Coturnix japonica: one gene and its partners. The protein of the gene in region 1 purifies or fractionates together with the protein of each later gene. This does not show direct contact. Links are inferred from orthologs where the notes say so. Each region holds a gene or a part of one and is shown in the gene's direction. Other genes may lie near its edges. The genes, in order: RAB7A, PLEKHM1, VDAC1, VDAC2 and ARL8B.

Region 1 (4,183 bases):
TTTTTCAATTTTATTTTAGCAAGTTCTGACATTACGATGAGTTTTTTTGAGGAAACTGGCCTGGAAAGCAAAAGAGGGCAAGAGAAAAACATTGCAAAGCTCTTGAGAGGACAGCTTCACACAGGGATGACAGGATGGTCAGCTGGAGCTTTATCTTTCCAGACCTAAGAGGCAACAAAGGGTCCCAGTGCTGTGAGCAGCAATGAGGAAGAGGGAACACAGGACTCTGGTGAGCTGAAATAGTCTGGGCAAGTACTAGAAGAATGAGCAGGTTCCCTCTAAGCTTTTAACATCGCAGATGGTTCAAGGTGGGATGGCTGTATGTCCATGGGAAGTGGGTGAGTGCATTAGAAACTACAAGGAACATCAGCTAAGTCAATGTACAGGTTGGCTCCTGGACCTCTCTGCAATCAGCACACGGTGAATCTTTTTGTGTCCATGCTGTTTCTGCTCACTGTGCCACTGTATGGACTGGCAAGAGGAAGGGAGGATCCCTTCCAGTCCAAGGACCAAAGAGATGATGTTTTATTATCCCTCATTGGATGGCACAGACAAGCAAATAGAGATTAGATGTCACAAAGGGAACAAATCAAAGCTGAAGACGTTCTTACTTCCTGGTTCAGCACATGAAATATGCTGAGGTTCCTGCAGTGGTAAATGTCTGTTTGCTATAATATCTAGCTGCCATCTGTGCCCAATGACAAGCACCCAGACCATAAGGCTCTCTCTGCAGGCAGTGATGCTTCTGAGAGCCAGGATTCCTGTGTTCTTCAATGTCCCACAATGGACCAGAGGTGGCTGCTGCAAGACACAGCTGTGGGACACGCCAAGAAAGCCATTAACTCAATGCAAGGTTATCCTCTGTGTAACTAAATAACGTCAGAGATGGGCGGCAGGATCGCTCTGTGATAGAGAGGGAAGGAGGAAATGTTACCCACGGCCCTTGATTGCTTTTTGTATTGTGTAATAAGGAAGAAAAGTGAAATGTACAATCAAATCATTCCAACTGGAACGACCCCGCTCCCCCCTCCCCACCAGCACAAGATGGCGGCGGGCAGCGAGCGATCACGTGACACTCTCCCCCTCCTTTCCTTCCCTCCCCCTTCTTCCCTTCCCTCCCCCTCCCGTTGGCTGCCGGCGCCGTGATGACGTCATGACACCGGGCGGACCCCGTGACCGGAAGTTGTTGAGGGGGGGGAGGCGGAAGTGAAAGCGGGGAGGTGGTTGGGCCCGATAAAGCCGAGCGAGACGAGCGGGGGAGGCACAGCCAGGATCGGGCGGGCGCTGCGGCCACACGCACCACGGTCAGTACGGGGCTGTGTGGGTGTCTGCCATAGGGTTCGGGGCGGGGGGTGCCGGCTCCGGCCCAGCTGCTGTTACTACAGGGCGGGGGGTGGCCTCTCAGGCCCCTCCCTCCGGCTGGAGGGGCCGCTGGGGCCGGCTGGGTATGGGGGGCGCCGCCTTTGTGCTGGGCCCGGTGCCGCCGTGGCAGCTGCTCGCTCTCAGTGTAATACTGGGCTGTTGTGTCGAGCTGGGGCCGGGATCGGCGCTTCCCCCGGAACAATGGAGCTGAGGGATCCTTAGCAAACGGCTCCTCCGCCCAGAGCCTCGGGCACGGCGCTACCGAGGCCTTCCTTGGGCTGTGAGCTTCTAAAGGCGGGTGTGTGGGTGTCCTCGCTGTCAGAGCCATGCGGTGGTCCATGGAGAAGCAGAGCGCATTGTGTGTGTGGCATGTGGCGTGCTGCGCTATGGGCTCGGAGCTGGGGCTGCCCCCAGTGCTGAGGGTTGGGTGGTCAGATGGTGACTGTGCTTCAGGTGGGATGGAGAGGGCATTGGGTGCTGCTTTAGAGACAAGCGGGCTGCTTAGGGAGCATTTAATGCTGCCAAATGTGAGGCTGGGAGGGCTGGCAGTTATTGCGAAAGGAGCTCTCAGCGTGTGCAAAGCCTGAGTCAGTTCGAAGGAGTGTGGGAATGGATGTTGGAAGTGCTTTTTGTTCGGAGTATAATAAGGTAAATGAAATGATGGATGCATTATTAATGGCTCAGGTATATTGAGGCTAATGAATATAGGAATACTTAATCGTTGTGTTAAAGTGAAATGTGTTTTCTTCCTTGTAAATAGTGGATTTCTTATAGTAGTAAGGCAGCTTAAAAAAATAAGTGCCATAATCTGGAGGAAGAGAGTTAACTGCATCAGAATGAATACATCTTAACCAGTAGCTCTGAGTTCTTTGAGTAAAAGATTGAATTCTCAACACTGTTTTCCTGCAGGCTAAAAATACTTGCTGATAAGCAGAGCTGTTGGGATATGTGTTGGGTTTTTTTATGAGTAAACTGAGAACACATGATAGAACAAAGTCCTCCCAGCTGTAAGCAAGCTGTTCTTTGTTTGATAATTGTGAATTGGAAATGTTAAAGCTTCCAGCACCTGGCTGGCCAGCTCTGAGCTGTGCCTTTTGGTGTGGGCTTGTGCTGGGAAAGTGGGGAGTTACCTGCCAGCTGTGTGTAGTGCTTGGCTGTGATTTCAGGGCTCCCTTGTGGTTGTTCTGTGTGTGATCAGTGGTGGTACTAGTGATGCATGATAGAGGCTGCAGCCTTGCTGTGCTTTCAGATGGGCTGGGCTGCTGAAGTGAATGTACTCTGCACTTAGGAGATAGATTCGAGGTTGTGTTGGGTGGAGCCATTTGAATATTCCTTGTTTAATAATCAGAGCTTCATTGCTGTACTTCTTCAGGAAGAACAAGTATACTTGTCTCTTCCCCCCCCCCCTCCTTGTGACTCTCAACAGCTGACTGAACACATGACTTGCTCTCCATGAACTAATGAACAGGCTCACCATGCCTGAGTCCTTAGAACCCAAAGTAGCTCTAATACTGCCACTTCAAAATGCTGCCCTTTCTTTTGTGCTGTTATGCTAATATTCCTGGTGTAGGAAAACTGTCAGATCTGACCTCTCAATAGGGAAGGCTCTGAAAAATCCACTAGCAGTTTCTTGCTTTCTTAATGTGCAGCATGAGGTATAACTGCTAAGGTCTGAAATTCATTTAATTCAACTTCCTTTTTGTCCGTGGTGTCATGCAGTGGCCAGTGTCCTCAAATACTCTATTAATAGTTCAGCATGGCACACTGAGACTTACACCTTAAAATGGAAAGATGCCAAGGTAAAAGCTTAAATAACTGTTGCAGTGACTGTGTTACAGTCATCCTTTCCTTTCTGCCAAATTCAGTGTATCAGCCGCTACCCAGAGCAGCACAGATGTGTTGTGATGCAGGTGAGTCCTGAATTGTAAATGGAAAGCATACAGACTCTGCTGTTGGATCTCTGCTGTGTGATAATATCTTCCTTTGTTTTCTACCCCAAAACCAACGTCTGTGGGCCAAAAGGTTTAGCAGATTGAATTTCTGAAATGCCTTTTTAAAGCTACTGCTGTTGACTTGGAAGGTCATTTGAATTACCTGTCAGAGCGAATCTCTGGCGAAGCTTGTCCTTGAGGAAACATGACAATTAAGATCAAACCATCTGTGCAAAACTATATATAGATTTGTTTCTAACATGTATGAGTTTTTAGTCTGACTTCTCTGCAAGAACGAGACTAGCTCATGTGGAACTGAACATTTGACTGTAAACTAAACCGCTTGTGCTGGGTGAGGATGTTCTTTCAAATGTTTCATCCAGAGATGGTGCTTGGTACCTGGCCTTAGAATGAAGGCTGTGGAATAAGGCACTGGGATATTTGCATTTTTGGAATGAGCTTATGATTGCCTGGGCTCACAGATGCTTGCAGTCCCTCCTGTTGTAGCATACCAGTTTCTTTAGTAACAGAATTGAACTGTGTTAAGTGAGAGTTTGGTGCTTACCAGTGTTCTCTGCCTCCTGGGCTTCCCCGTGGCTGTGACCTGACCCACTCTGAAGCTCTTATTGCTAGGCCTGCTGGTACTGAGATCCTCTTGGTAGAAGGGGATGTAGATGAAAATGAACTTGGGTGCTGAACTGACTGAGTGCTGGTATGTTTATGCCTTGTATGCTGCTCGTCTGACAGCAATCCAGCATCCTTCAGATACAGAAGCACTTCTTTGCACAGCGTAGTTTTGATAACTGCAGTTTAATTGCCTGTTGGGGTTGAGTTGATTTCCCCCTGCAGCCTTTCCGAATGATCTCCTGCAGTTGTTGTGTGGCAGTCTG
Region 2 (3,717 bases), on another chromosome or scaffold:
CTTCTTTGTTTGATATTCACCACCTGAGCTCCATAAAACATTAGCAGAGCACTCCAGGTTGCAATTAAGTGGATGCTGCAGCTTTCTGGAGGGTGATGGGGTGGCCCTGGCTCTCCCTGGAGCAGACACCGACCCACCGACGCTGCATTGGTGGTTTTAGAGAAGTGAAGCCATTAAAAATAGAACCCGGAGTTTTCCTGTCCCCATGACTCCGTTGGGATGGAGCAGCTGTCAGAGCGCTGCAGCTCGTCCCCAGGAGCTCAGCCAGGTTCTCCTGGGGCTGCACATCTCAGTGTTTGCTTCTCCCATCCCCGGTGATGGGGTGGGCAGGGGGGAGTACATTGTGCTGCTGTGATGTCCTAAATGAAGGGCAGGGGGGAATAAACACTTTAAATCCATAGAGGCACAGTTTGGTAGGGACCTCAAAGATCACAGAGCCATGGAATCACAGCATGGATGGGTTGGAAGGGACCTCAAAGATCATAGAGCCATGGAATTGAGGTTGGATTGGGTTGGGTTGGGTTGGAAGGGTCCTTGAAGGTCAAAGAGCCATGGAGTGGGTTGGGTTGGGTTGGGTTGGGTTGGGTTGGGTTGGAAGGGTCCTTAAGGATTGTAGAGCCATGGAGTGGTTGGGTTGGGTTGGGTTGGGTTGGGTTGGGTCGGAAGGGACCTTAAGGATCATAGAGCCATGGAATGGCTGAGTTGGGTTGAGTTGTGTTGAGTAAGATTGGGTTGGAAGGGGCCTTAAAGATCATCTAAATAATGGATTAAAAGTGAGATGGGTTCAGGAACGGTCACGATGCCTCGTGTGTGACGTTGGTCTGTCATGGTCTAACTGAACCCCAAGCCCCCTGGCACATGCTTTACCGCTCATCCACCCCCCTCCCAGGTTTTCCTGCCCCATGTCTCACCCCACATCTCCCCCCAGCTCCAGGGGTCCCCTCTTACCTTCTATTCTCTGCTCCCCAAAGGCTGCTCCAGGCAGATCGGCTTCTCCTTTGCCAAACCCAAACTCTGCTCCTACTCCGGGCTCTACTACTGCGACAGCTGCCACCGGGACGACGAGCTGGTCATCCCCTCCCGCCTCATCCACAACTGGGACCTGAGCAAGAGAGGGGTGAGCAGGATGGATCCATGCCTGGGGGGGACCTGGGGGTCCCTCTGTGTGACCCCTCACCCTCTGTGTGCCGTAGGTTTGCCGTCAGGCGCTGAAGTTCCTCACCCAGATCCGTAAGCAGCCGCTGATTGATCTCAAGTTGGTCAACGAGAGCCTTTATGACCACGTGGAGAGGATGAGGCGCATCCGCCAGAGCCGGGAGCAGCTGAAGCTGTTGGGGGATTATTTGAGTGTGTGTCGCAGTGGGGCACTGAAGGAGCTGAGCAAGCGGTGAGCAACACGAGGGCCTGGTGCTGGGGGCTGCCTCGCTTCATCTGTCACCATTGCTGCCATTGTGGGGTTAAAGGGGACCTCAGAGGTTGGAGAACTGTGGGGTCATGGCGTGGTTGGATCAGAAGGGACCTTAAAGATTGTAGAATTATGGAATCATGGTGAAGTTGGGTTGGAAGGGACCTGAAAGATGGGAGAGCGATGGAACCAGGGCACGGTTGGATTGGAAGGGTCCTTAAAGACTGCAGAATTATCATGGTGCAGTTGGGTTGGAAGGGACCTAAAGATGGGAGAGCGATGGAATCAGAGAATGGTTGGGTTGGAAGGGACCTTAAAGATTGCAGAATTATGGAATCTTGGTGAAATTGGGTTGGAAGGGACCTAAAAGATGGGAGAGCGATAGAATTGGGGCATGGTTGGGTCAGAAGGGACCTCATAGATCACAGACCTTCCTCCCCACATCTGCGCTGTCAGATGGAAGCTGTGCCCCCCATCCTGCCCCCACCAAACCACGCTGCCCCTGACCCCCCCAGGCTCTACCAGCCGTTCCTATGGGATATGGGCTGTTCTCCCCCCCATGGAATCTGCTGGAGGAAGCTCCCCGTGTGTCCGTGGGGCGGCGCAGGGGGATGGGCCGGAGGAAGCTCTTTCCTGGCTGGGGCTGAACAGGAAACACCTGGGCAAACAGATGAGAGCGTTTCTTTTTCCCCCTTTTGAAATGCTCCCAAACAATTTTCAATGGCAGGATCTGCGATGCCTTGACTTGGCGCGGCGTCAGCTTGACGCTCCCCAGGAGCCTTCATCACCCCGCGGGCTCTTCCTCACCCCTCCGGGATGTGGGAAGCCCCCACCCAGCTCCTCTCTGTGCTTATTTACAGCCTCGATGACAGGAATTACCTCCTGGAGTGCCCCCACAAGTTCAGCGTGGCCGACCTGCAGCAGGTGAGCGCCCCAAGACGTGTGTCCGTGGGGGGCTGATGGAATGGGGGGCTGATGGAATGGGGCCCTTCTGCAGATGTGGGTTTCACACCACTGCGTTCCTCTTCTCTTTGTTTCCTGTTATCACTGTGGCTTTGGGGCTGAAATCATGGGGGTGGGATGGGATGGGTTGAAATGGGATGGGATTGGTGGGGTTGGGATGGGATTGGTTAGGTTGGGATTGAATTGGTTGGATTGGAATGGGATGGGGTTGGTTGGGATGGGATTGGTTGGGTCGGGATTGGTTGGGATGGGGTTTGTTGGGATGGGATGGGATGGGGTTGGGATGGGATGGGATGGGATTGGTAGGGATGGGATTGGGGTAGGTTGGAATGGGTCTGTGTTGAACTGGGATGGGGTTGGGATGGAATGGGTGGAGTTGAGGGATTGGATTGGAGTGGGATGGGGTGGGTTGAGTGGGACTGGAATAGGTGGGAATGGGATGGGTTGTTGGATGGGGTTGTGTTGGGGTGGGCTGGGATGGGCTGGGGATGGGATGGATGGAGTTGAATGAGGTTGGGTTGAAGTGGGATGGGTTGAATGGAGTGGGTTGAGTGGGGATGGCGTGGGATGGTGTTGGGGTGGAATGGGGTTGGGATGGGATCTTTTGGGATGGCGTTGAGGTAGGATGGCGTTGGGATGGAATGGATTGGGGTGGGTTGAATGGTGTGTGGATGGGATCAGTTGGGATGGTGCCGTGGTGGGAGGGATTGGGATGGGACTGAGATGGGACTGAGATGGGTGGGCTTGAGTGGGATTTGGGTGGGATTGGGTTGGGGTGGGTTAGGTTGGAGCGGGTTGGGGTGTGATGGGATGGGATTGGTTGGGGTGGGTTGGGATGGGATTGGGGTGTGATGGGATGCCTTGGAGGGGGACCTCATGCTCCAAGCACTGCAGGACCATTTGCCCCCATTGAGGCCCATAATAACCCAGCCGTGCCCCACAGATTTCCGACGGCACCTTCGAGCCCTTCCTGCTCTCCGCGATCCAGTTTGCGTCTCACCACGTCTACAGCTGCGACCTGTGCACACAGAGGGGCTTCATCTGCCAGATCTGCGCCCGCGGCGCCGCCATCTTCCCCTTCCAGATGGACTCCACTTCCAGGTGGGCTCCAAATCCAGGTGGGCTCCATTATTCCCAGATGGGCTCTATATCCATAGGGTCTCCATTCCCAGGTGGGCTCTATATCCAGGTGGGCTCCATTATTTCCATGGGGGCTCCATTTCTATGTGGGCTCCATGATTTCCAGGTGGGCTTCAAATCCAGATGGGCTCCACTCCCAGGTGGGCTCCATGTCCAGGTGCGCTCTATATCCATAGGGTCTCCATTCCCAGGTGGGCTTCAAATCCAGG
Region 3 (4,379 bases), on another chromosome or scaffold:
CAAAGCACAGAAATGTGGGCAGGAAACTTCCATCGGACCGATACAAGGGGTCCCCCTCTGCTCAGCAGTTACGAGCTATTCCTTCAGGCATAATGGCTTTCAACTTTGTCATGCTGTAGTAGTTCCAAACATTGTACGATTGGCTTTTGCTATAAAATGCAGTCGTTACTATTACTCCTGATTAAAGCGACAGCAGGAAATAACATCAGAGCATTACAGCGGGCTCTGAGCCCCTGCTGCTGTTCCTTGGGTCCCTGAGGGTCTGTTATGTGGTCATTGTTACTATGAGTGGATGATGGATGATCTTCAAGAGGGCGCCTTGTTTGCTTGTTTAGTATTCGTACTCTAACAACTGATGGGCAAAAATGTAAATGCGTGATATGAACAGCAATGTTAATTATCGCTATTAATGGCTTAGCTGGGGGCTTATGGCATGTTTCAACTTTGAAGCACATAAAATCCAGGAAACTGTTGTATTTGGAATTTGCATGACTGGCGTGCAGGGTCATTATATCTAGGCAGTTTGGTGTATCAAAGGGTGCTGTGGCATGCCTGATGAATGAACTAGGTGGGGCTGGAAGCATCACCTTCTGTTCTGCCTGCTTCACAGGGCAGCCAGGGGCCTGAGCAAGTTGCTTTCCTTAATGGTGCCTTAATATCTGCATTTCCATAGAGGGGTCATGTTTTTGATCTATGTATGAAAAGTGTCATTATTATGACTAGAATTAAAGGGAGCTTCGATTTATTTACTTATTTAAAATAACTTTAACCTAATGTAATAATACATGATCACTAAAGGGAGGCAGGGCTGGATAATCTCTAGTTCTAAATATGGTTTTCCTTTCTTTTGGAGCTTAGCTCAGACCGCCCCTCACTAATGTTGCAGGTCAAGACAGAGCTGTATGGGAACCTTGCACAAAATCTGCCTGTGTAACCAGCTCTCCTCAGTCCTTTTTAATTCCTCCTTTTCTTGAGAGCCAAGCACATGAAGTTATGTGTGAGCTTCAGTCTTATCTGAAGAAAGTATTGTAGCCTTTTTCAGGAAGAATTGCTCTGACAGTTTAAAAAGCTGCTGCTATGGCTTCAGCTTTGAAATAGGCTGTCACTGTGCAACTGTTGTGAACCAGCGCTGTGCCTAAGAGGTAAAAGTGGCCTTTTAAAATCACAGAATCACAGAATTGTAGTGGTTGGAAGGGACCTCTAGAGATCATTGAGTCCAACCCCCCTGCCAAAGCAGGCTCCCTACACCACGTATGGTGGGTGGGGTGGTTGCATGTTGTGCAAATAGAGATCGAACTGAAGAAAAAGAAAAGCAAAAGGCAATTGCTTTGGGATACAGTTCAAACCTGCACTGCTGTGTGCCTTCCAGGAATGATGGAACAGAATTTGGAGGCTCCATTTACCAGAAGGTGAATGATAAACTGGAAACTGCTGTGAATCTTGCTTGGACAGCTGGTAACAGCAACACTCGCTTTGGAATAGCAGCCAAGTATCAGATTGACCCAGATGCGTCTTTTTCTGTGAGTGCCATACATTTATAAGCATTTGAATAACCAGTTTCTTGTAATAGGAACGTGAAGCAACTTTACATCAATGAGTAAAGTCCTTTGGAGGCAGTTCGCTGCTATGTGCCAATTCTGTTGCCTATTCCATTGGCACATGCTTCTGCTGGTCTCCCTTTTGGCCACACGGGAGCACAGTTATTGGATTTCCCTCAAAACTGATACAGAATGGTTTATTGTATTTATTGGGCACTGCTTGGAGAAATTTCCAGTCCATATTTTGGACAAAAATTACAAACATGGTCAACTATAGCACAGTTTCAGTGACTGTGGATGTGGACTATAGGTATATTGATTCTGCAGTTAAGTTTCAGTGAACTGTAGATTATTTTTGTGTGTGTGATCTGTTATTTATGCATTTAAAAGGCAATACATGATTTCCAAGTGAGTAGGGTTCTGAAGGAAGATAACAGATGATTTACGTGTGTTGTTTTTCTCCATCCAGGCTAAAGTGAACAACTCCAGTCTGATCGGGCTGGGATACACTCAGATTTTAAAGCCAGGTAAGTCTGTGCAGAAGAAATCCAGAAATACACAAATAGTATTTCAGTCTTGAAATATCAGAGAGGCTTTTTGCAACAGTACGTGGTTGGTTTCGTAACACTGCTGTTCTGTGTGGCAACCCAGTGGTGAACTTCACCACAGACTGCTCTGTTAGTTTGGGATGTCTGTTGGGATCAGAATTGCTAGACCACCAACCACTGTCCATTAGGTTCTCTTCTCTTAACACCAAGTCATGTCACTGAGTTTCTTTGCATGAAAATGTGATGTTCCCAAGGCCTGCTGGTTCAGGAAGAGGGCAGTCTTACAGCTGCCCAGTTGGTTTTAATGTAGTCTAAAAGATCTGCTGCCACAATACCATGCAGGTTGATTACTGCATCAGGTGTGGCTCAGGGCTTTTCATCCCAGTGTTTTAAAGAGGGTGAATAAGAGTCAAGGTCCCAGATTTTCATCATACCTGAGTCTAAAATTAGATTCATCTGTAGGCCAAAGGCAATGAACTCAACTGACATGTATGACAAAAAGTAAAATCTACCTGGTTTGTTTTATCCTGACTTTGAGAATTCAGAAAGATTTAATACTTGCTGACAGCCTGATAAAGTCCAGACGTTTACATGGCTAGCTGCCAAATGACATGAATGCAGCCACTCAGTCCATTACAGCAGCAATGCAGACACTGCAGTTACTGAACATAAGGCTCATTCCAAGTGTTAATCACTGTCTTCTCTCTTGCTTCTCTCTGCAGGTATCAAGCTGACGTTGTCAGCTTTGTTGGATGGCAAGAATGTCAATGCAGGTGGTCACAAACTTGGTCTAGGATTGGAATTTGAAGCATAAAGAGAGATTCTACAATCGTTAATTTGAGAATACAGCATAGCTACCTTCAGAATATAGTGTACCTTTCAATGTTGTATGTCTGGGATGCAAGTAATGCTAAGTATCAGTCCTGCTAGTCCTGGTTAAAGACAGCTAAGCTTTAAAATGTTTCAGAAATGGAGACAAAAAGCATTCTAAGAAATCCAGATTCCAGGCTTTTATTTTTTTTCCTGTTTTGGGTTGTTATTGCCCATCTTATCCGTCAGCTGCCGCATGATAGCAAACAGGGAAGGTATTATTACCTATACTAACATATTGACTGCACAAGGGATATGTTAGCGTGATACAAGAACTGTTATGTCAAGAGTTGCAGACCACTGTTGTACTGTTAATTCCTTATGCAAAATGCTCTGAAGGCCTCATTTCACTGTGGAATGTGCAAACTTGCCTGGAAAAAGGGATAATTTTTATGTTCTGATGGGTGTTTCACAAATGGTTCGTCTCGTTTGGTTCCTTTACACCTCCAGCTGTCTCCAGAACGCTTTAGGTCGTCTGTTTGTGTGACTCTGTTGCCGAGAAGGATTTGATGTGACTCAGCCAATGCTCCTTGTCCTGTGCTGTGGTTCCTTTCCCTTGCACTGAATGGAAGGCTTGTAAGACAGGGCTGTAATCAGGGAAGTGTTTGTACCTGCAATCACATAATTGTGTCACTAAATTGAAAATGGACTTTTGTTTTATTACCACTTGATTTTGTTTGTTTATTTTTTTTTAGCAATTAAATGGGTACATTTTTAGAGTCTTCCATTTTGTGTGGAAATAGACCCCGAAGTGCTGTACCTGACACTACTCAAACCGGAGACGAAACAACCAAACCCAAACTTGAATAAAACATTGAAACATCACTTTTTACTTTGGCTTTGTGTATGATCTGTGCCCATCGCTGTGTTTCTTTGGACCTGCAGGGCTCCAAGCTTTTGCTTTTTGGCATTAAAGTCAAGCAGCCATCCCGCAGCTGAGGGAAGGCCACTCCTATTCCTGTCAGGGCTCTCCGCTTTCCCGCCTTCCCGCGCGCCGCCATTTTGCCGCACAGCGCATGCGCGGTGGTTACACCAGAGAGCAGGCCTTCATTTCTGCGCATGCGCATCGCCCTCCCAGCGCCGGGGCGGTGCTGCCGCCACGTCTGTGGGAGTGCCCGGCAAGATGGCGCCCGGCAAGATGGCGGCCGCCGGCGGTGTGCGCTGCTCGGCGGGTCGCGCGCTGTGCGTCCTCCTGCTGTGCGGCTGGGCCATGGCGGAGCGCGGCGTGCAGACCCGCGGTGAGCTCGGCGGGGGGGGGCGGGCACTGAGGGCGCACATTTGTGGGTTTGGTTATTTATCATCGTGTTTCGGCCTAAAAGCCGGTCCGGTCCCGTCCGAACTGCCCGCCCCGCGCTCCTTCCCTTCTTGCTTTCCTCAGTGTTCTCCGTTGTGTCGTGATACGTTCTGCTCTGTGCTCTGTCCG
Region 4 (4,163 bases), on another chromosome or scaffold:
AGGCTTTCTGCTTATTCACTGGCATTTCCCTGAGGTTACCTGGATATCCATCTATGTCAACTTATTTAAATGCATTGGTTTCTGCATGGGTCTGTTTTCTCCTTTGGTAGAAAAACAAACACTGCTTTGCTGCTTCTGAACTCGGTTCCTGCTAACTTTAACTATTTCCCACCTATTTTCTGCTGATTATAATTTTACCATCTGTGGTGAATGCTATCGGTCAGTTCCTTTTCAGGATAAGCCCTTGTTTATGCAGTTAGGCTTACCTTAAGGTTTCTTTTCCACTGTATTTTTAATCTTTGAAGGCTCAAATTTAGAAGGACAGATAATGACTGCAGGTTTGACCTAGAAGTGAATATAAACCTCTGATGGAAACTGGTGAGCACTACAGCTGTCTTTTTATTGGTTACATACATGTCTTCTTCAAGTAATCATGATTATAATGTATGGATAGACAGCAGCATTCACTGGGATTTTGTGTACTGCGGTCTCAGACAAAACTGTTTCACAAGGCAAGTGATTCAGAACTTCTTCCTTCAGGGTGGGGCAGTAAGTACTTCACTGGATTGCTTTAAAATGATAAAGCCGGACCATGACTAATATATATAAAAAAAAGCCACCCCACCATTCTGATGTAAGAAACTGAAATTCTATTCAGAATGAACTTGTATTATGAACAATTCATGCCACATTCATGTTCTTCCCCCTAACATCCAACCTAAAACAGAACTAGATGCTGATGGGCAGTTGGAATTTACTGCCGGTCAGCCTGCTTTAGTAACGGCTGAAAAAAAAAAGAAAACGGCTGCCGTACCATGTGTTGGAGGAAACCAGTAGTGCTTGTTAACGTGTATTTCATGTGATTCGAATATGATTTGACTCGCTTTCACTTTTCTGACGGGTTCTGACTGAGTACTTTTAAGGAGGCTGGGCCTGTGCCCACTTGTGCTGTGGCTGGTGACCGTTACGGGGCGGAAGTTTCTACTTGAGTTAGGCGGGCGGCTCGCAGGGCCTGCACCCGGTGTACGGGTCTTCCCTCGTGCGGGCCGCTGGACTGAGGAGCCGCCCGAGGCCTCGCTCCGCCCCGCGCGCTGCAGGGCCGCACCCGCTCTGCTGAGCGGCGGACGCGTCGCGGGTTCCAGGCGCGGCCGTTGCCGCCCTCCCGCGCAGGCCCCGCCCTCTCACGAGGACCCGTCTCCGCCTCTGGGGCTGCCGGAATTAGCGCCTGCCGGCCCACGTCGCTCCATCCCGGCTCCGCGCTGAGGGTACGGCGTTTCTCACGGCTGGAGCCTTGTGTTCCCGTGTGTGCCCGCGCTGGGGGTCTCTCGGGTCGGGCGGACGGGCGCGCGGGGCGCTCCGTGGGGACGGGCACCTCGCGGGACGGCCCCTTCTGACCGGGGTCCTGCGGGGCGGCGGCGGGCGGGCGGATCGGTGTCTCCTTCACTTCGCCCTCCAGTGCCAGCGGCTGCAGCAGCGCGGCCTCCTCACGGCCAGACCCGCCCGCGCCCCCGGTCCCGCTCCGCCCGGCCCCGCCGCTCTCTCGCGCTCGCCAGGTGCCGGCCCGGGGCTGGGCTCGTCCCGCGGTGCCGGGGGAGGCGGGTGGGGCGCGAGCGAAGGGCGGTGAGCGGGGCCGGGGCCGCGTTCCTCGTTGTCCCGCTGGGGGCGGTCGGGAGGGACGGGGTGTGGGGGGATCGGGACGGGGTCGGGACGCTCCGCCGCCCGCGATGGCCTCGGCCGTGCCCGGGCTGCGGTTACATAAGGGGCGGCCGTAGCGCCGGGGGTCAGGCGCGAGGCCCAAGATGGCCGCGCGGAGCGTTCACCTTGCGGCGGCAGCGGGCGCCGCGCGGCCCGGCCCGTAGCGAGAGGGGATCCGCGCTGCTTCGGTTTTGTGAGCACGGAGCGAACCGAGCGCTGTTTGACTCTCTCTCCCTTCTCCGTAGAGTCTGTGCATTGGCCTAGCTATGGCTACGTCGTCCGCGTGCCAGGCGTCGAGGTGTAAGTAGGGAGGTAGTTACAGCGAGGGTAGTAGTTCTCGTTTAGTAGCTCCGTAAGCGTAAAGGAGGTCAGCGTTAGATCGGACATGTTTTTAACGGTATTTTCAGTATCGGTTTATTGCTATTTTCAATGATAGGATACAATTTCACTTTAGTTGTTGCCGTTTAAAAGTATATATAAAAGTTTATATAATAAAAATATTATATATTTTAATACATAATACTTAAGTATTTTGTTCCTAATTCTGTGCCCTCTAGGCTGATCCTCAATGTCCTGAGGTCTGGAAATGGTTATTGAAGCCACTGGCATACCTTAATTACTAAGTGTGGGGCTCTTTCCAAGTATTGCCTCGAAAGAAAGCTGTGATGTAATACTTGTGACAGCCTTCACACATCTTGGCATTTCATTTTCTTTTTGCTTTGGAAGAAAGTATATTTAAGTAGCAGATTATTTCTTTTAGGTCTATATAGAAAGGGGGATAAAAAGAAAAAGTGGGATGCTTACCTGAAATAAGTATTTTCTATGTTCCTGAAATTAGGATATTTGATATCTACTGTCACAACAGGCTTGTAATTAAATTGTAGCTTTATTTTAGGTGCTTCTAATTAGTAAGAAGATGAAAGACGCTTCAAAACATGCTCGAATAAAATTGCTTCTCATCATAAGGATTTGCAAATCTAGTGAATTTTTCAACACTGGAAGAAACAGAATTGATATATTTTGGCCTTTAAAGAGCTTTCTGGTGGTGACCCCGGCTTACGGGGTGTTTTATGTACCCCCAAATAACATCTGCTTTTTCCTCTTGTGTCCCTGTCAGCGTATGAATTGAAACAGCAACGTGAAGGTCATAAGCTGTTTTAACTCCTTATCAGGAAACCTGGGCCTGTAGGCTGGAATGGCTGACAAGGATTAGTCAGTTTCCTGCAGTAGGGAGGATGCTTAACTTGGCCTGATAAAAACAGCAGTATCCTTTTATTGCAGTAATTCCACACATTTAGTTACAGGCAATTAAAAATATTATTTTTTAAACTTTAGGGCCTTAGCATAAATCTCTTGTCTATGATGAATATCTAGTCAGCTTGGGAACATTAAAGATGAAAGAAGTTTATACATACAGTCATATATTTTTATATGTAGTAGCCTTAAGCACAGACATGCATTTTGATACTTCTGAACTAGTAATAATTATTCTTCTGGAGACGGTAGTTGGACCTACTCAGAGGAAGAGTACATAGCTGAAACTTCTCAAAGCCCTTTTAAGCTACTAATGAACTGGACACCAGGGATTTGGAGTGAGAGAAGACCAGTGCTCCCACACTTTCTTCAAGTTTTGTCCTGCTTCTGTTACTTTTTATTGAATAAATCATAGAAACCATTTTGTCTCATCACTGGGACTCACATCTGTTTCTGCTATTGAATCATCTTTTCCTTAGGCTTATATTATTATTTATTTTTTTAAGAGTTTACTCCTCGCAAGAACGGATTTGTTTTATACTCCCCAGCAGGTGCTGGGTTGATTCCTTTACTGACTTCTGTGTAGAGTTTAGCGTTTCTTGCTGAAGAGGTTCTTGGTTTTTCTTTCAAACTAAGCTAAGCCTGGATGATTTTGCGATGATGCAGTTGAATTTTTCCTTTTGGGCTTTAGGAAGATGGAGAGAGGCACCTGGAAAAACTGTAGTAGATTATAGGAAACCAATGTTAAGGCACAAGACCTTTTTTGTACAATAAATGTTTTTAAAATAGTATTAGTTCATACAGTTAAGCTGCACATAGCAGTTATAATCAGTGTATATTATTTGTGGATGCTGTAGTTAAGCAGTCTGCTTTAGTGGAATGGTGCCCTTGGAAATAATTCTGGGACAGGTGTTTTCAAGCAAGTTTTCTTGTTTTGTTGGTAAGGCCAGAAAATACAGACTTTTAATTAAAAAAAAATGGGGGAGTGCTGGGAGGGAAGAGCCTGCTTTGATCCCATGTGACTAATGTACTGAACTTGTAGAGATCTGCAGGAGGTGAATAATTCTATAGTCAGAGGATGATAATTGAAATCTGGTTAAAAGTGCTTTATAAGAATGGAAAGCGTGTTCAGTTGAAAATTAATATACAAGAGTATGATCTTTGTTTTAGAATCTGAAGGTGTTTTTTGAAACAAAACCCACAGAGGAATGAGA
Region 5 (4,449 bases), about 9.1 Mb from region 1:
CTCGGAATTGTGGTTTGTGTCGTTGGCTGTATCCAGACACTCTCCTCTCATGGTTTGTAGCCTGCAGAGAGTTTCCAGGAAATGTCTAGACACAGAAAGTGATGATCCGAGCCCTGTCTTTATGTGCTCTTTCTTCTAATATGGCCATCTGCAGCCCGGTCCTCCTCAGCTGCCAGCAACATCCTGCAATCCATGGCAGCAGTAATTGCATTGCTCCAAGTGCTCTGTGCCGCCGCAATAACGAGCACAAAGACTCCCAGGGTGCCTCTGCAGACAGCTGACAGCAGAATTGCAAAGCAGAGTCAAAGTCTAAAGACCTGAGAAACCCTGCATGGAACAGTCAATAAAGTGATGTGTGCCCAGCTTAGCACTCAGTGCTGAGCTCAGAGCAAGGGATTTGGGAGAAATCCCATCGCTTGTGGTAAAGGCAAAAAGCGTGCTGTTAATTCAGTGCAATGAATGGTATCATCCCTTTGCATTTAGACACGCAAATTTTGTTGCACCACAAATGATACGGCACAGACTTTACTGGGAGGAGCACTCAGAGTGTTCAAACGCAGACATATGAGAACCTGCAAACGCCTGCAACGCTCTGCAGCTTCCCCAGGCCTGCTGAACAGACACAGCATCCCCGCCTGCTGCTCTGCAAGCAGCTGATACCAATCACAGTCTGTTGTCTGCAAACACACCATGAATGAGAGATTTCCTCCACGTAGGATGTGCAGCCTGTGGGGAAGGAGGTTTCTCTGCAATACAGGGAAGGGGGCATTGTGTTGTTTTCAGCTGTGGAAGTTCTGGATCACTCCTGTGCTATTCTGTTTCAGCAGTGAATTAGCAAATTAGATTTGCTCCCAGGAGTGAAATGTGCATCTATCCTATAACTGACAACACGACCGCTGCATAAGATGCTGCACATCTGCTTCCACTGTGTGCTTCAGGAAACCTTTATCTCTGAATTGATGACAGCCAGCAGCATCTGGCTGCTTTGATCAGCTCTTAGCCGGCTCTGCAACCTGAGTGCGACTGCTTCACCTCCTGCACAGCCACAGGAAGAAGGGGACCTGGGGGGGCATTTTCTCCCGTGCTTCAGCAATTAACTGAATACAGCAATAAACGGAACACTGCCAGATCCTTCGGTGAGGGATGCACTGCTGCAGCAAACCTCAACCTGCTCCAGGAAGGGGCAGCTCAGGGGGCTCAGCGTCTCTTCAGATGGGGTCTGTGTTGACAATGGCGATGAGTTTCGATCTCCTGGGATACACCAGTTCTGTTCCTTGAATGCCGCATCTCCTCTTTGACACGCGGGCGGTGCGGGCACAACCCCGCCCCCTCTGTTAGTGATGGCCCCGCCCCGCGCCGCCCTCCCGCCGCCGGTCCTCCCGGGGCGCTGTTCTCACGGCTGCCGATAGGGGGCGCTGTGGGGCGCGGCCTGTCCTGGTGCGCCGCGCGAACCCGGCCGCGGCGTCATATGACCGAGGCGCGGGGGCGAGCCGGGCCGTGAGGGAGCGCGCGGTGCCGAGGAGCCGCCGGAGCCGAACCCGGTTCTCCCGCCAGTGCCCGGCCGTTCCGCCCCGCCGCAGCCATGTTGGCGCTGCTGTCCCGGCTGCTGGACTCATTCCAGGTGCTATTCTGGAAGGAGGAGATGATGCTGACCCTAGTGAGGCTACAGTACTCCGGCAAGACCACGTTCGTCAACGTCATCGCGGTGAGCGGGCGGGCCGGGGGCTGGGAGCCGGGCCGGGGGCTGGGAGCCGGGCCGGGGGTTGGGAGCCGGGCCGCCGCGTTGTCCCTGTGTCACGGGGGGGCACTGCGGCCTGGGGGCGGCCTGCACGGGGCTGGGCCCGGTGAGGTGCCCGTCCCCGGGGCGGCTGCGCTGCGGGCTGTGCAGGCCTCGGCCTCCGGGTGTCATCAGCTGCGCTCCCTGCTTGGTCTTTTCGGCGCTCATCAGTAAACGCTGTAGATGTTTCCCACCCCGTTGTTGTCCCTATTTTTTCTTTTTTTAATCCTGCGTCAATTCATGCACGTTATTGAGCTGTGTTAAGCAGTACAACTTCCAGGCCTTGCAGCAGCAGCCTGCTGAACCTGGGCCTGCTTATCAGATGCAGGAGGGGTGTGAGAGCCTTCCCTCCTACGCAGAGCTCTGCTGTTGCTGAGTGTGAAAAAGACTCCCTTGTTTAGATAGATTTGTGGCCCCTTCAGCGTCCTGTTCGGCAGAGCATTGACCAGGGGCAAGCTGCAATGTGTCAGCTGGTGGAGGGAGCTTGACACGGAGGTGAAGGTACCCTTTGCTTTGCAGGGAGCATGACTGGCTTGAATTGAATGCACCTAGAACAGAGGGCTGATGTGCTCTACTTCAGATTCAAGCGCACTTCAACTTCTTCTATGAGGCTGTGTACATTGAGGCTGTGTACACTGTTGAGTGTTTTTATATACGTATTTGAATGAGTAACTCAGTAGTAAAAGAGACACTGCCATTCTCATTTTGTTACACTTACCACGTCAAAACACAATGGAGCTCATGTGCAGTGCTTCGTGGCTGCTGTGATAATTACATAAGATGGTAAAAAGTGCCTCTTCTTCAGCCTGCTTGTATGAAGTGAAAGCTGCTGGACTCATGTGAGAACTCCAGAAGCCTTTTCTTTCACATGCTACTGGCTCTCCCTGCTTTTGGTCCTGGATTTATGCAGATGGAACTCAGCCATTGAACCATTCAGTCTGTGGTTGTCAACCTGATACTGATGTGTGGTTTTCAGCTGAACTCGAGCACTGGAATTACTTTGCAGGTTTTCACTCTTTTGCTGCCTAGGATGGTGATGGCACACATCAAGCTACTACTTTCTTGTGTTTTGGAGCTCAAGATGGTGTTGTTTGTGCTGTGGGCTGCTGCAGAGTTAATTGCACTGTGTCTTCAGCTGTCTAGATTGTCCCAGGTGGCAAAATTACTTAAAGCAAAGTTGACAACTGTGCCCAGCTTGCTTTGCTGGAGGTTGAAGCTTGCAAGGTTTTAACTGCTTATTAGGATCACACCCAGAAATTTATCTGAGTGAGTGTCATTCAAATTGGCTTGCAAAACCGAGTGAAATAAGGAAGTCATTATGTGTAAGGCACAGCATCGTTAACTGTTTTACGTTTGGGAGTAGCAAGTCACATCTCTGAAGCTTTTAATTAGGAAATCTGGTGACTCTCAGCAAAACAGAGTGAGGGGACTTGCTCATACCTTTAAAAAACTAATAGCATGGACTGTTGTCAGCATGATATTGCTTCTTACAGGAACAGTACTTTAGTCTACAGCATGAAGAGCTAACCTTGTGTCTTGTGCTGCCTGGACCTTAATTCAGAGTGTGTGTTAGTAGATCAGTGCTGGAGAAGAATACCTGCTCCCTGTAGACCGGTTAATGGCTTGGATGGAAGTAGCTGTTGTGTGCTGGGATTCCATAAAACTGAAATGAATGACACAGCACGGTGCTAGCCTGATAGAGCAGCTTTAAAAGCTGGATTGCATGGCAGGATGTGGCTCAGGGTGTTGCACTCTGCCTAACAAAAGAGCGTTACCAGTCTCTTGACAACATGAATTTAATCTAATGTAAATCTCTAATGTAATCTTCTGTCTTACGTGGGTACCCAATCAGATCAGGCACATGGAACTAAAGGAAATCTGAAGTCCATTACCTAGGAGGGTTGATACAACTCCCGGCTGCCTCTGAAGAGGAAATGCCATGGAGGGCAAAGAGTCTGGTTCTAGAATGTTCTTTCTAGGCTGGGAGCAGGATTTGCCTGTGTTTGTTCCTTCAGTGTGAAGAAGCTCTCAGTTTATAATCACACCAAACTTAGTTTGACTGGTAGGTTTAAAAAACATAGCAGTGAAATATAGTTGTAGCTGGATGCAGCTTCTGCTTTGCTAAGGCTCCCCATTAGTCACTGTCTCTAATTAGATATTTAGCATAAGTTTTCCATGTGCATGAATAAACTTGCTCACAAGGGAGGATGTCATTTCCTCCTGGTTTTAATTTCCATAATGTGGATGGCCTGTGGCTCCTTTCAGTGAAACTGCATGTCATCTCAGTATTATCACCTCTCGAATTGTGAGCTACTTATCTAAGGGCCTGGGATAGCCATTGTTTTCTGGAGTCTGCAGTATCTTCTGTTTGCATCTCTGCAGCCAGTGTCTGTCAGCAGGCTTTGATCAGACCCAGCAGAGCTGCAGGCCACGGCCACGCTGCCATGGGGAGATGGGACAGACAGCTGAGTTCCACTGTCATGTGATGCAACTGCAACGTGACTCAAGCAAACCGATGGCTTCCAGGCTGCAGGCAGTGCTGGTGAATGGTGGGACACCAATCAGCTTCAGAATGTACCTCATGGAAGAGCAGCATTCCCCATTGCTGATCCTTGATCCAGGCGTTGGGTGTTGCAGCTCTAAAACTTCATATCTGGTCTTCAGTGGGGAGG

The links.
Region 2: the proteins of RAB7A (region 1) and PLEKHM1 purify together in Homo sapiens (affinity purification with western blotting; 5 studies listed by BioGRID and IntAct, with this or other methods). This does not show direct contact. The link is inferred for Coturnix japonica from reciprocal best matches to the Homo sapiens genes RAB7A and PLEKHM1.
Region 3: the proteins of RAB7A (region 1) and VDAC1 purify together in Homo sapiens (affinity purification with mass spectrometry; 3 studies listed by BioGRID and IntAct, with this or other methods). This does not show direct contact. The link is inferred for Coturnix japonica from reciprocal best matches to the Homo sapiens genes RAB7A and VDAC1.
Region 4: the proteins of RAB7A (region 1) and VDAC2 purify together in Homo sapiens (affinity purification with mass spectrometry; 3 studies listed by BioGRID and IntAct, with this or other methods). This does not show direct contact. The link is inferred for Coturnix japonica from reciprocal best matches to the Homo sapiens genes RAB7A and VDAC2.
Region 5: the proteins of RAB7A (region 1) and ARL8B purify together in Homo sapiens (affinity purification with mass spectrometry; 4 studies listed by BioGRID and IntAct, with this or other methods). This does not show direct contact. The link is inferred for Coturnix japonica from reciprocal best matches to the Homo sapiens genes RAB7A and ARL8B.

Annotation. Positions count from the first base shown.
Region 1 is NC_029527.1:6,808,589-6,812,771, reverse strand, and holds the start of RAB7A (ras-related protein Rab-7a), read left to right. Parts: upstream 1-1,172; 5' UTR 1,173-1,304; intron 1,305-4,183.
Region 2 is NC_029542.1:1,116,900-1,120,616, reverse strand, and holds part of PLEKHM1 (pleckstrin homology domain-containing family M member 1), read left to right. Parts: intron 1-971; coding exon 972-1,117; intron 1,118-1,193; coding exon 1,194-1,387; intron 1,388-2,265; coding exon 2,266-2,329; intron 2,330-3,311; coding exon 3,312-3,469; intron 3,470-3,717. UniProt on the Homo sapiens protein: Acts as a multivalent adapter protein that regulates Rab7-dependent and HOPS complex-dependent fusion events in the endolysosomal system and couples autophagic and the endocytic trafficking pathways.
Region 3 is NC_029528.1:2,129,692-2,134,070, reverse strand, and holds the end of VDAC1 (voltage-dependent anion-selective channel protein 1), read left to right. Parts: intron 1-1,369; coding exon 1,370-1,520; intron 1,521-2,007; coding exon 2,008-2,065; intron 2,066-2,808; coding exon 2,809-2,900; 3' UTR 2,901-3,782; downstream 3,783-4,379. Other genes in the region: C13H5orf15 (keratinocyte-associated transmembrane protein 2), read left to right, coding at 4,080-4,194. UniProt on the Homo sapiens protein: Non-selective voltage-gated ion channel that mediates the transport of anions and cations through the mitochondrion outer membrane and plasma membrane.
Region 4 is NC_029521.1:12,479,402-12,483,564, reverse strand, and holds the start of VDAC2 (voltage-dependent anion-selective channel protein 2), read left to right. Parts: upstream 1-1,166; 5' UTR 1,167-1,265; intron 1,266-1,420; exon of another isoform or gene 1,421-1,553; intron 1,554-1,940; 5' UTR 1,941-1,961; coding exon 1,962-1,995; intron 1,996-4,163. UniProt on the Homo sapiens protein: Non-selective voltage-gated ion channel that mediates the transport of anions and cations through the mitochondrion outer membrane and plasma membrane.
Region 5 is NC_029527.1:15,955,098-15,959,546, forward strand, and holds the start of ARL8B (ADP-ribosylation factor-like protein 8B), read left to right. Parts: upstream 1-1,451; 5' UTR 1,452-1,582; coding exon 1,583-1,705; intron 1,706-4,449. UniProt on the Homo sapiens protein: Small GTPase which cycles between active GTP-bound and inactive GDP-bound states.